Rattus norvegicus: one gene and its partner. The protein of the gene in region 2 interacts with the protein of the main gene of each other region in a biochemical or structural test. Links are inferred from orthologs where the notes say so. Each region holds a gene or a part of one and is shown on either strand. Other genes may lie near its edges.

The links.
Region 1: the proteins of Dok1 (region 2) and Fgr form a complex in vitro, tested with the Homo sapiens proteins (2 studies listed by BioGRID, with this or other methods). The link is inferred for Rattus norvegicus from reciprocal best matches to the Homo sapiens genes DOK1 and FGR.

The regions. Positions count from the first base shown.
Region 1 is NC_086023.1:150,494,231-150,497,876, forward strand, and holds part of Fgr (tyrosine-protein kinase Fgr), read left to right. Parts: intron 1-1,026; coding exon 1,027-1,130; intron 1,131-1,263; coding exon 1,264-1,413; intron 1,414-3,646. UniProt on the Homo sapiens protein: Non-receptor tyrosine-protein kinase that transmits signals from cell surface receptors devoid of kinase activity and contributes to the regulation of immune responses, including neutrophil, monocyte, macrophage and mast cell functions, cytoskeleton remodeling in response to extracellular stimuli, phagocytosis, cell adhesion and migration.
Region 2 is NC_086022.1:117,094,706-117,099,032, reverse strand, and holds Dok1 (docking protein 1), read left to right. Parts: upstream 1-1,398; 5' UTR 1,399-1,406; coding exon 1,407-1,466; intron 1,467-1,485; exon of another isoform or gene 1,486-1,634; intron 1,635-1,729; exon of another isoform or gene 1,730-1,734; coding exon of another isoform or gene 1,735-1,773; coding exon 1,774-2,073; intron 2,074-2,212; coding exon 2,213-2,306; intron 2,307-2,422; coding exon 2,423-2,607; intron 2,608-2,777; coding exon 2,778-3,581; 3' UTR 3,582-3,862; downstream 3,863-4,327. UniProt on the Homo sapiens protein: DOK proteins are enzymatically inert adaptor or scaffolding proteins. They provide a docking platform for the assembly of multimolecular signaling complexes. DOK1 appears to be a negative regulator of the insulin signaling pathway.

The sequences.
Region 1 (3,646 bases), on a different chromosome or scaffold from region 2:
TCCCTCTTGGGTCTGGACTTCTTTTTTTTTTTTTTTAAATTTATTTATTTATTATATATAAGTACACTGTAGCTGTCTTCAGATACACTAGAAGAGGGCATCGGATCTCTTTTACAGATGGTTGTGAGCCACCATGTGGTTGCTGGGAATTGAACTCATGACCTCTGGAAGAGCAGTCGGGTGCTCTTAACCGCTGAGCCATCTCTCCAGCCCAAGGGTCTGGACTTCTAAGGCTCGCTTTTTTTTATTTTTTTCTCGGAGCTGGGGACCGAACCTAGGGCCTTGCGTTTGCTAGGCAAGCGCTCTACCACTGAGCTAAATCCCCAACCCCAGGCTCGCTTTTTTTGTTGTTGTTTTGTTTTGTTTTGTTTTGTTTTTGTTTTTCAGAGACAGAAGGGTTTCTCTGGCTGTCTTAGAACTCATTCTGTAGACCAGGCTAGCCTTGAACTCACAGAGATTCACCTGCCTCTGCCTCCTGAGTGCAAGGGTTAAAGGCCTGAACCACCATGCTCTGTCCTCTCCCTTTTTGTTTTTAAGGGAGTGTCTCATTATGTAGCCCTGGCTGGCCTAGAACTTGCTGTGTAGGCCAGGGTAGCCTTAAACTCAGAGGGGCACCTGCCTCTGCCTCCGATTGTTGGGATTATACCACCACACCAGGAAGAGTCTAACAATTTTTTTTTTTTTTTTTTGGTTCTTTTTTTTCGGAGCTGGGGACTGAACCCAGGGCTTTGCGCTTCCTAGGTAAGCGCTCTACCACTGAGCTAAATCCCCAGCCCCGAGTCTAACAATTTTAATTCAAGAGACACCAGTAGAAAAGAGAATCTTAGGTATCCACCATGTGTGCCAGACCCTTTTCCATTCCCCTTCTCTGGGATCCTATACTCAAGTCATGAAGCAGATTATAACAGTCCATTTGTCAGATGGAGAAACTGAGGCTCGGCTTGTGCGGTGACTTCCCGGGGAAGATGGGAAGGTGGACTGTTGTTTAGAGAGGATGCGCCTGATTCTGCCTGCTCTTCCCAACAGGTGGTACTTCGGAAAGATCAGCAGAAAGGATGCAGAGAGGCAGCTTCTCTCCGATGGCAACCCTCAAGGGGCCTTTCTCATTCGGGAAAGCGAGACCACCAAAGGTGGGTTGGTACCAGCCATTGGGACAGCGGGAGAGGCGGACCTAACTAAGATGGACTCTGGGAACTGCCTTTGGGGCCTCTTCCTGCTCTAAGTCTGAGGGGGAAGAGGACTAAACGGACCCTTTCCACCCAGGTGCCTACTCCCTGTCCATCCGTGACTGGGACCAGAACAGAGGCGACCACATAAAGCATTACAAGATCCGAAAGCTGGACATGGGTGGCTACTACATCACCACGCGGGCCCAGTTCGAATCCGTGCAGGACCTGGTGCGGCACTACATGGGTGAGCTGCTCAGTGTGACCAGGAGGTCACGAAGGGGACACTGAGGCCTAGAGAACAAAAGATCTCCTGAAGAAGTAGCAGCTAGGCCAAGAATGCGTGTCCCCAGGCTAGGGTCCTGCGCTGAGTGGATTCTGAGGACACCGAGGCCTGACATAGCAATACCTCCTAATGCTTGCAGCCCTAAGCCTGTGGGAACTTTCGAAAAAATTTACATTTTATTTATTATGGGGGAGGGGCTCGTGGGTGTCAGAGGACAAGCTGTGGAAGTTCAGGTCATTGGGGTGACCAGCAGTCACCTTTCCCCGCTGAGCAAAATCTTGCTGGTTTCGGTCCATGGAGACTTTGTGGGGCCTTTGCTGTTCTCTCTGTCTCTGTCTGTCTCTGTCTCTCTCTCTCTCATTGTGTGTGTGCGATTGTGTGTGTGTGTGCACGCGTGTGTGTGCACGCGTGTGTGTGCACGCCATGTGTGGAAATCAGAGAATAGCTTAGAGAAGTAAGTCCTTTCCTTCCACCACATAGGTCCCAGAGACCAAACCTGAGTGGTCACGCTTGCTGGCTGGCACCTTTACCTGCTGAGCCACCATGTTGATGCTATTGTACTTCCTAGGCAGTCATCATCCTAGGTTCTAAGCCAGCAATTCTCAACTTTTCCTGATGCTGCCACCTTTTAACACAGTTCCTCATGGTGACCCCCCCAACCATAAAATTATTTCATTGTTACTTCACAACGGTGATTTTGCTACCATTACGAACTGTAACGCAAATACATGATATGCAGGATATCTGATATGTGACCCTTGTGAAAGGGTCCTCCAGCACCCCCAGAGGGCTCATGTCCCACGGCTTGAGAACTGCTGCTCTAAGCAGTCGGTTGCAGAAGTTGAGCAGAACTGGGAGGAGACTCTCTGGCTGTTGTGTGCTACCTGGACGTCAGGGACAAGGCTGAAGGCGAGGTCTCTTGGACAGCTTGGGTCATTGCCCAAGCAGTGACAGCAAGCAAGCAGAAGACAGTGATTCTAAAGCTGAGCAGGAGGCAGTATGGTCCTGACTAGACGGAGGCCTGCTGTGGGGGTTAAGCAACTGTTGTCCGTCCTGGAGTAAAACCCAAGCATGGCAGTCAGGCAACGTCATTGCCTAGTGTTCTCGTCTTGACTGGGTAGGCCCAGGATGAGGACCATGGCAGGAATGGGTTCATGTCCACAGTTTTGGCTCAGAACCTTACCTCAGTTTTCACCTGTCAGAACTGGTCCTGTCCTTAAAGGCCTGGCTGGAGGCCACCTCCTGGGAAGACCATAAAGGTTCCACAGAGATCTCTCTCTCTCTTTTTTAAATTAATTATTTATTATATATAAGCACACTGTCTTCAGACACACCAGAAGAGGGCATCAGATCTCATTACAGATGGCTGTGAGCCACCATGTGGTTGCTGGGATTTGAACTCAGGACCTCTGGAAGGGCAGTCAGTGCTCTTAACCACTAAGCCATCTCTCCAGCCGGAGATCTTCTCTCTTATGTGTCCCGTCCTTCCTTGGGCACCAACAAGTTTGCCTACTCAGAGGACTGAGTTGCAAATACAAACCTTTTTTTTCCTTCAGTTTTTCAAGACAGGGTTTCTCTCTGTAGCCCTGGCTGACCTGGAACTTGCTCTGTAGACCAGGCTGGCCTCTGCCTCCTGAGTGCTGAGACTAAAGTTTTGTTCCACCACTGCCTGGCTTCTTTCTTCTTTCCTTTCTTCCTTTCTTTTCCTTTCTTTTTTTTTTAAGATTTATTTACTTATTTTATGTATGAGTACACTGTCGCTGTCTTCAGACACAGCAGAAGAGGGCATCAGATCCCATTACAGATGGTTGTAAACCATCATGTGGGTGCTGGGATTTGAACTCAGGACCTCTGGAAGAACAGTTGGAGCTCTTAACCTCTGAGCCATCTCTCCAGCCCTTCCTTTCCTTTCCTTTCCTTTCCTTTCCTTTCCTTTCCTTTCCTTTCTTTCCTTTCCTTTCCTTTCCTTTCCCTTTCTTTCCCTTTCTCTCTCTCTCTCTCTCTCTCTCTCTCTCTCTCTCTCTCTCTCTCTCTCTCCTTTAATCCTGGCTTGTGAAAACAAACTGTAAACTATTTCCATTTCTCTGGATTGATTGATTGATTGATTGATTGATTGATTGATTTTAGACCCTGTAGCCTAGACCAGCACCAAATTCCTTCCTCTTTCCTCAGCCTACTGAGTGCTGGAATTACC
Region 2 (4,327 bases):
GCAATTTCCTATGGAGGCAGATGCCCAGGCAGAAAGGGCTGAGGCTAAGCAGAGCAGGAGAACCTTCTGCCACCCTCCCTAGCACATGGGCTCCCAAATATGCTGCAGAGTCAGGGGCTCCAGGAGATCTAGACTTCAAGCTGGGCAGGGTTTGGTGTGGAGTTATCCAAGCTCCCTGTAACACCTCTCTTTCTGTCACTGGGCAACCAGAAGCTAGGGCTAGCTCCTTAGCTCAGGCCTTCTGTATCCAAGGCTGAAAACAGTCCTTCCCAGTAAGGGGGGCCCTGAATTGCTTCCCCCAACTCAGACAAGACAGCTTTGTTCTGGGGGCATTTGGCTCCGAAGCCCGGTGTTCAGCTTAGGGCCTACAAACTGCACCCTGAAGTCTCCATCCCCAACAATCCGCTCAGCTCTCTGCTTTGCTGTTTCGCTCCTTTAGCAAGAATAAAACTGTCAGTTGGTTGGCTTCCCCGACTCCATCCCAAATCAGCCTTTCCCCTGGTCCACCATCCTCTCCATCCACAACTCCTCTTCCCGCTGGCCGGCTGTAACTCCCCTACCTTCGACTAGGCAGAACTCCAGAGGCTGGAAGCAGAGTCCTGGTCCTGGAGATTACTTTCAGGACTTCTCAGAAAAAAAGTGTTCGGCCAGGGGAGACTGGACCCCCCCTTCCTCCCCCCTCTTCGTTGGTCCCTCCTACGTCCTCTAGAGCCCTCCCACATTCCGCTTTCTCCCTCCATTCGGGCCAGGCCAGTTCCCTCCTCTAGATCTTCCCCTCCCCTGTGGAGCTGGCTGCAGCCACGCCACCCCCTCCCACTCCTCCGGGCTCAATGAAGCTTTCTTTTCCCGCAGGTTGGGAGGCCAGGCAGCGGCGTTCAGGATGCTGGACTTGCAAATGGTTTCGGGACAGCAGGATGGCCCCTGTGGCCGCAGGAAGCTTTTCAGCCCGTAGCCGTTTCTCCACATCTCCAGCTAGACAGAGTATCAACAGACCAGTCCAATTCCAGAGCTGGACCATGGGAACAAGGTCCCACAAAGAAAACTAATGTCCTGAGGGCCCTCTTGGTCATTATGGCGACCCCAAAGTCCCTGCAGGTGATGTCACGGCCTTCACTCTGATGTCACGTTAAATATATGTCGTCACTCCCAGCTTCCACCCCCAGGCACTAGGGCCTTTAGTTGGTGACCGCGACTTCCCTGAGTAGTGCCACTGTGCGTGCGGTGAGATAAAGGCTCCCCTTGGGTTCTTCCTGACGGCTCGTTTTCCTTCGACCCCTCCGTCCCCGCCCCCCCTCCCCGCATCACCGCCGCAGGGGCCCGGGAGGGGCGGACACGCCTCCGGCACCCTGCAGCCCCGCCCAGCCCCGCCCCCAGGGCCAGGAAGCGCGGAAGGAATCGCCTTGGCCATGGACGGGGCTTTGATGGAGGGTCCGCTTTTTCTGCAGAGTCAGCGCTTCGGGACCAAGGTAGTTTGTTTGTGTCGTGGGGGGATGGCAAAACTCCCCTGGACTAGAAATGGGTGAAAGAATCCAGAAAGAGGGAATGGGCCGGAAGAAGGTCGGAACGGCGCGCGAGCAATCGTAGAGCCCCTAAGACGTTCGTTCCCTTGAAAGTCTCGGGCTGTGCCCTCCTTGGTGCGGATTTGGGATGGCATTATCTTTGGGAAAGTAGCCCAGCCTGGGAATCCCCAGACTCAGATCGGCCTGCGTGGGTCTCTTCTCCCTTGTAGGGCGCATGCTGCCGCTCACTCTCGAGTCTTTCGTTCTTTCCCAGAGGTGGAAGAAAACTTGGGCTGTGCTTTACCCAGCCAGCCCTCACGGCGTGGCGCGGCTGGAATTCTTTGATCACAAGGGGTCGAGCTCTGGAGGGGGTCGAGGCGGCTCTCGCCGTCTAGACTGCAAGATGATACGCCTGGCTGAATGTGTGAGCGTGGTGCCTGTGACTGTGGAGAGTCCCCCTGAGCCCGGCGCCTCTGCCTTCCGCCTGGACACCGCACAACGCTCGCACCTGCTTGCAGCGGACGCCGCATCCAGCACTGCCTGGGTGCAGATTTTATGCAGAACCGCTTTTCCGGTGAGTGTCTGGGGGTGGTCACCCCTGGGCCTAAGGGGCACTGCGAGGATGAAACTACTATAACGGCATTGGACTTCTTGCACCTACCCTAGACCCAAGAGAATTATGTATATGGTCCTCGATGTTCTCTTTTCTGCAGAAAGGCGGCTGGGCTTTGGCTCAGACGGAGAACCCACCTAAGTTTTCTGCCCTGGAGATGCTGGAGAATTCGCTGTACAGCCCCACCTGGGAAGGTATTAGTCTGGCAGAAATGGAGTGGGGTGAAGAGGTGCCCTTGGGGAGATAGTGATTGGAGTCTACCAAGTCCCCAACCTGCCCCGGCGCTCCTTCTCTTCCTGTGTTCTTCCAGGATCCCAATTCTGGGTAACCTCGCAGAAGACCGAGGCTTCTGAACGCTGCGGCTTGCAAGGCTCCTACGTACTGAGGGTAGAAGCTGAGAAGCTGACCCTTCTGACTTTGGGTGCACAGAGTCAAATCCTGGAGCCGCTCCTTTTCTGGCCCTACACTCTGTTGCGACGCTATGGCCGAGACAAGGTGCATGGGGCTGTCTGGGAGGATGACCATCGGGGAGGGCTACTGGGTTGGGTAGCTGTAGGTGACAACTCCATTCCCAGGTAGTCTCTTCTGTGCAGATATACTAAATTGGTCAGACCTGTGACTCATTTCTTTAGACACTCCTAACCTGTTTCCCTCCACACCCTCAGGTAATGTTCTCCTTTGAAGCGGGTCGCCGCTGCCCCTCTGGCCCTGGGACCTTCACCTTCCAGACTGCCCAGGGAAATGACATCTTTCAGGCAGTTGAGGCTGCTATCCAGCAGCAGAAAGCCCAAGGAAAGGTGGGACAGGGACAAGATATCACCAGAACTGACTCCCATGATGGGGAGACAGAGGGGAAGATGGCTCCCACTCCTGTTCCCCAGGAACCCCTGGGCAGCCCTCCAGCCCTATATGCAGAGCCTTTAGACTCCCTGCGAATTCCTCCAGGCCCTTCTCAGGACTCTTTGTATTCAGACCCCCTGGGCAGCACCCCTGCTGGGGCAGGGGAAGGGGTGCAGCGGAAGAAACCTCTCTATTGGGATTTGTATGGGCACGTGCAGCAGCAGTTGCTGAAAACCAAGCTGATAGACTCCAAAGAGGACCCCATCTATGATGAGCCTGAGGGCCTGGCCCCTGCCCCTCTCCGGGGCCTTTATGATCTGCCTCAGGAGCCTAAGGATGCATGGTGGTGCCAGGCTCGGCTGAAGGAAGAGGGCTATGAGCTCCCTTACAACCCCGCCACCGACGACTACGCTGTGCCACCCCCTCGGAGCTCAAAGCCTACCCCTGCCCCCAAGCCACAGGGCTTGATCCTTCCTGAATCTGGTACCACAGCTGGCAGTGGCAGCAAAGGCTCAGATACAGCTCTGTACAGCCAGGTCCAGAAAAGTGGGACCCCAGGGAGATGGGACTGTGGACTCTCTAGAGTAGGGAATGACAGGGTGGGGGTCAAGTCAGAGGGTTCCACCTGAGACAGTTGCTGATAGGAGGTCCATGGGGTGGTGGCACTGAAGATCAGAGAAACCTGAGGGTGGGAGGGGCCGGGGGACCAGAGGAGTCAAGTGATGACCAGTCCCCGGAAGTTGTGGGAGTAGAAGAAACAAGGCTGCTGGACTGACTAGGCCTGTGGGAGAGGTCCACTGGTCAGAGTGAGGACACTTTGGGGAGGCCAGTATGGATCCTCACTCTTGTTCTTTGCCAGATACGTTTTAATTTATAAGGCAAATCTCATTAAAGGTGGCTTGATTGAAAAGGTCTCTGCGCATGAATAGACACTGGGGCAGGCATGCGCTGGGAGGGTGGGGAGGGGTCAAGGGAGGAAGCAGAAATATGTTGGGGACCGTGGAAGGATGAAGGGCCCCAGGGAGGGAAGCCTACAGTGTGGTGATTCACAGCCTGGGTGGTCATAGCCTCTCCTGGGCCGGTCTCTGACTCATTGACCCTGTTGTCTGTTACCTGCCATTCTTAACTCTCCTCTGCTGCCCTTACACCAAGTGTGAGAATTTGGCTGTGCTACAGAAAGGCAGCTGGCACGAGATAAGACACACTTCCCCAGCTCTTAGTGTAATCTAAAGCATAGAAGGCACTTTACCAATGGCAGCCATTTTTCTGTAGTTCGAGGGAGCTATAGAAGGTAGGCAGGCGTGGGGAGAGCAGACTAGGAAGGGAGTGGGGTTCTTTCACACCACCCACTCTCCTCTGCTAGGCTACACAGCAG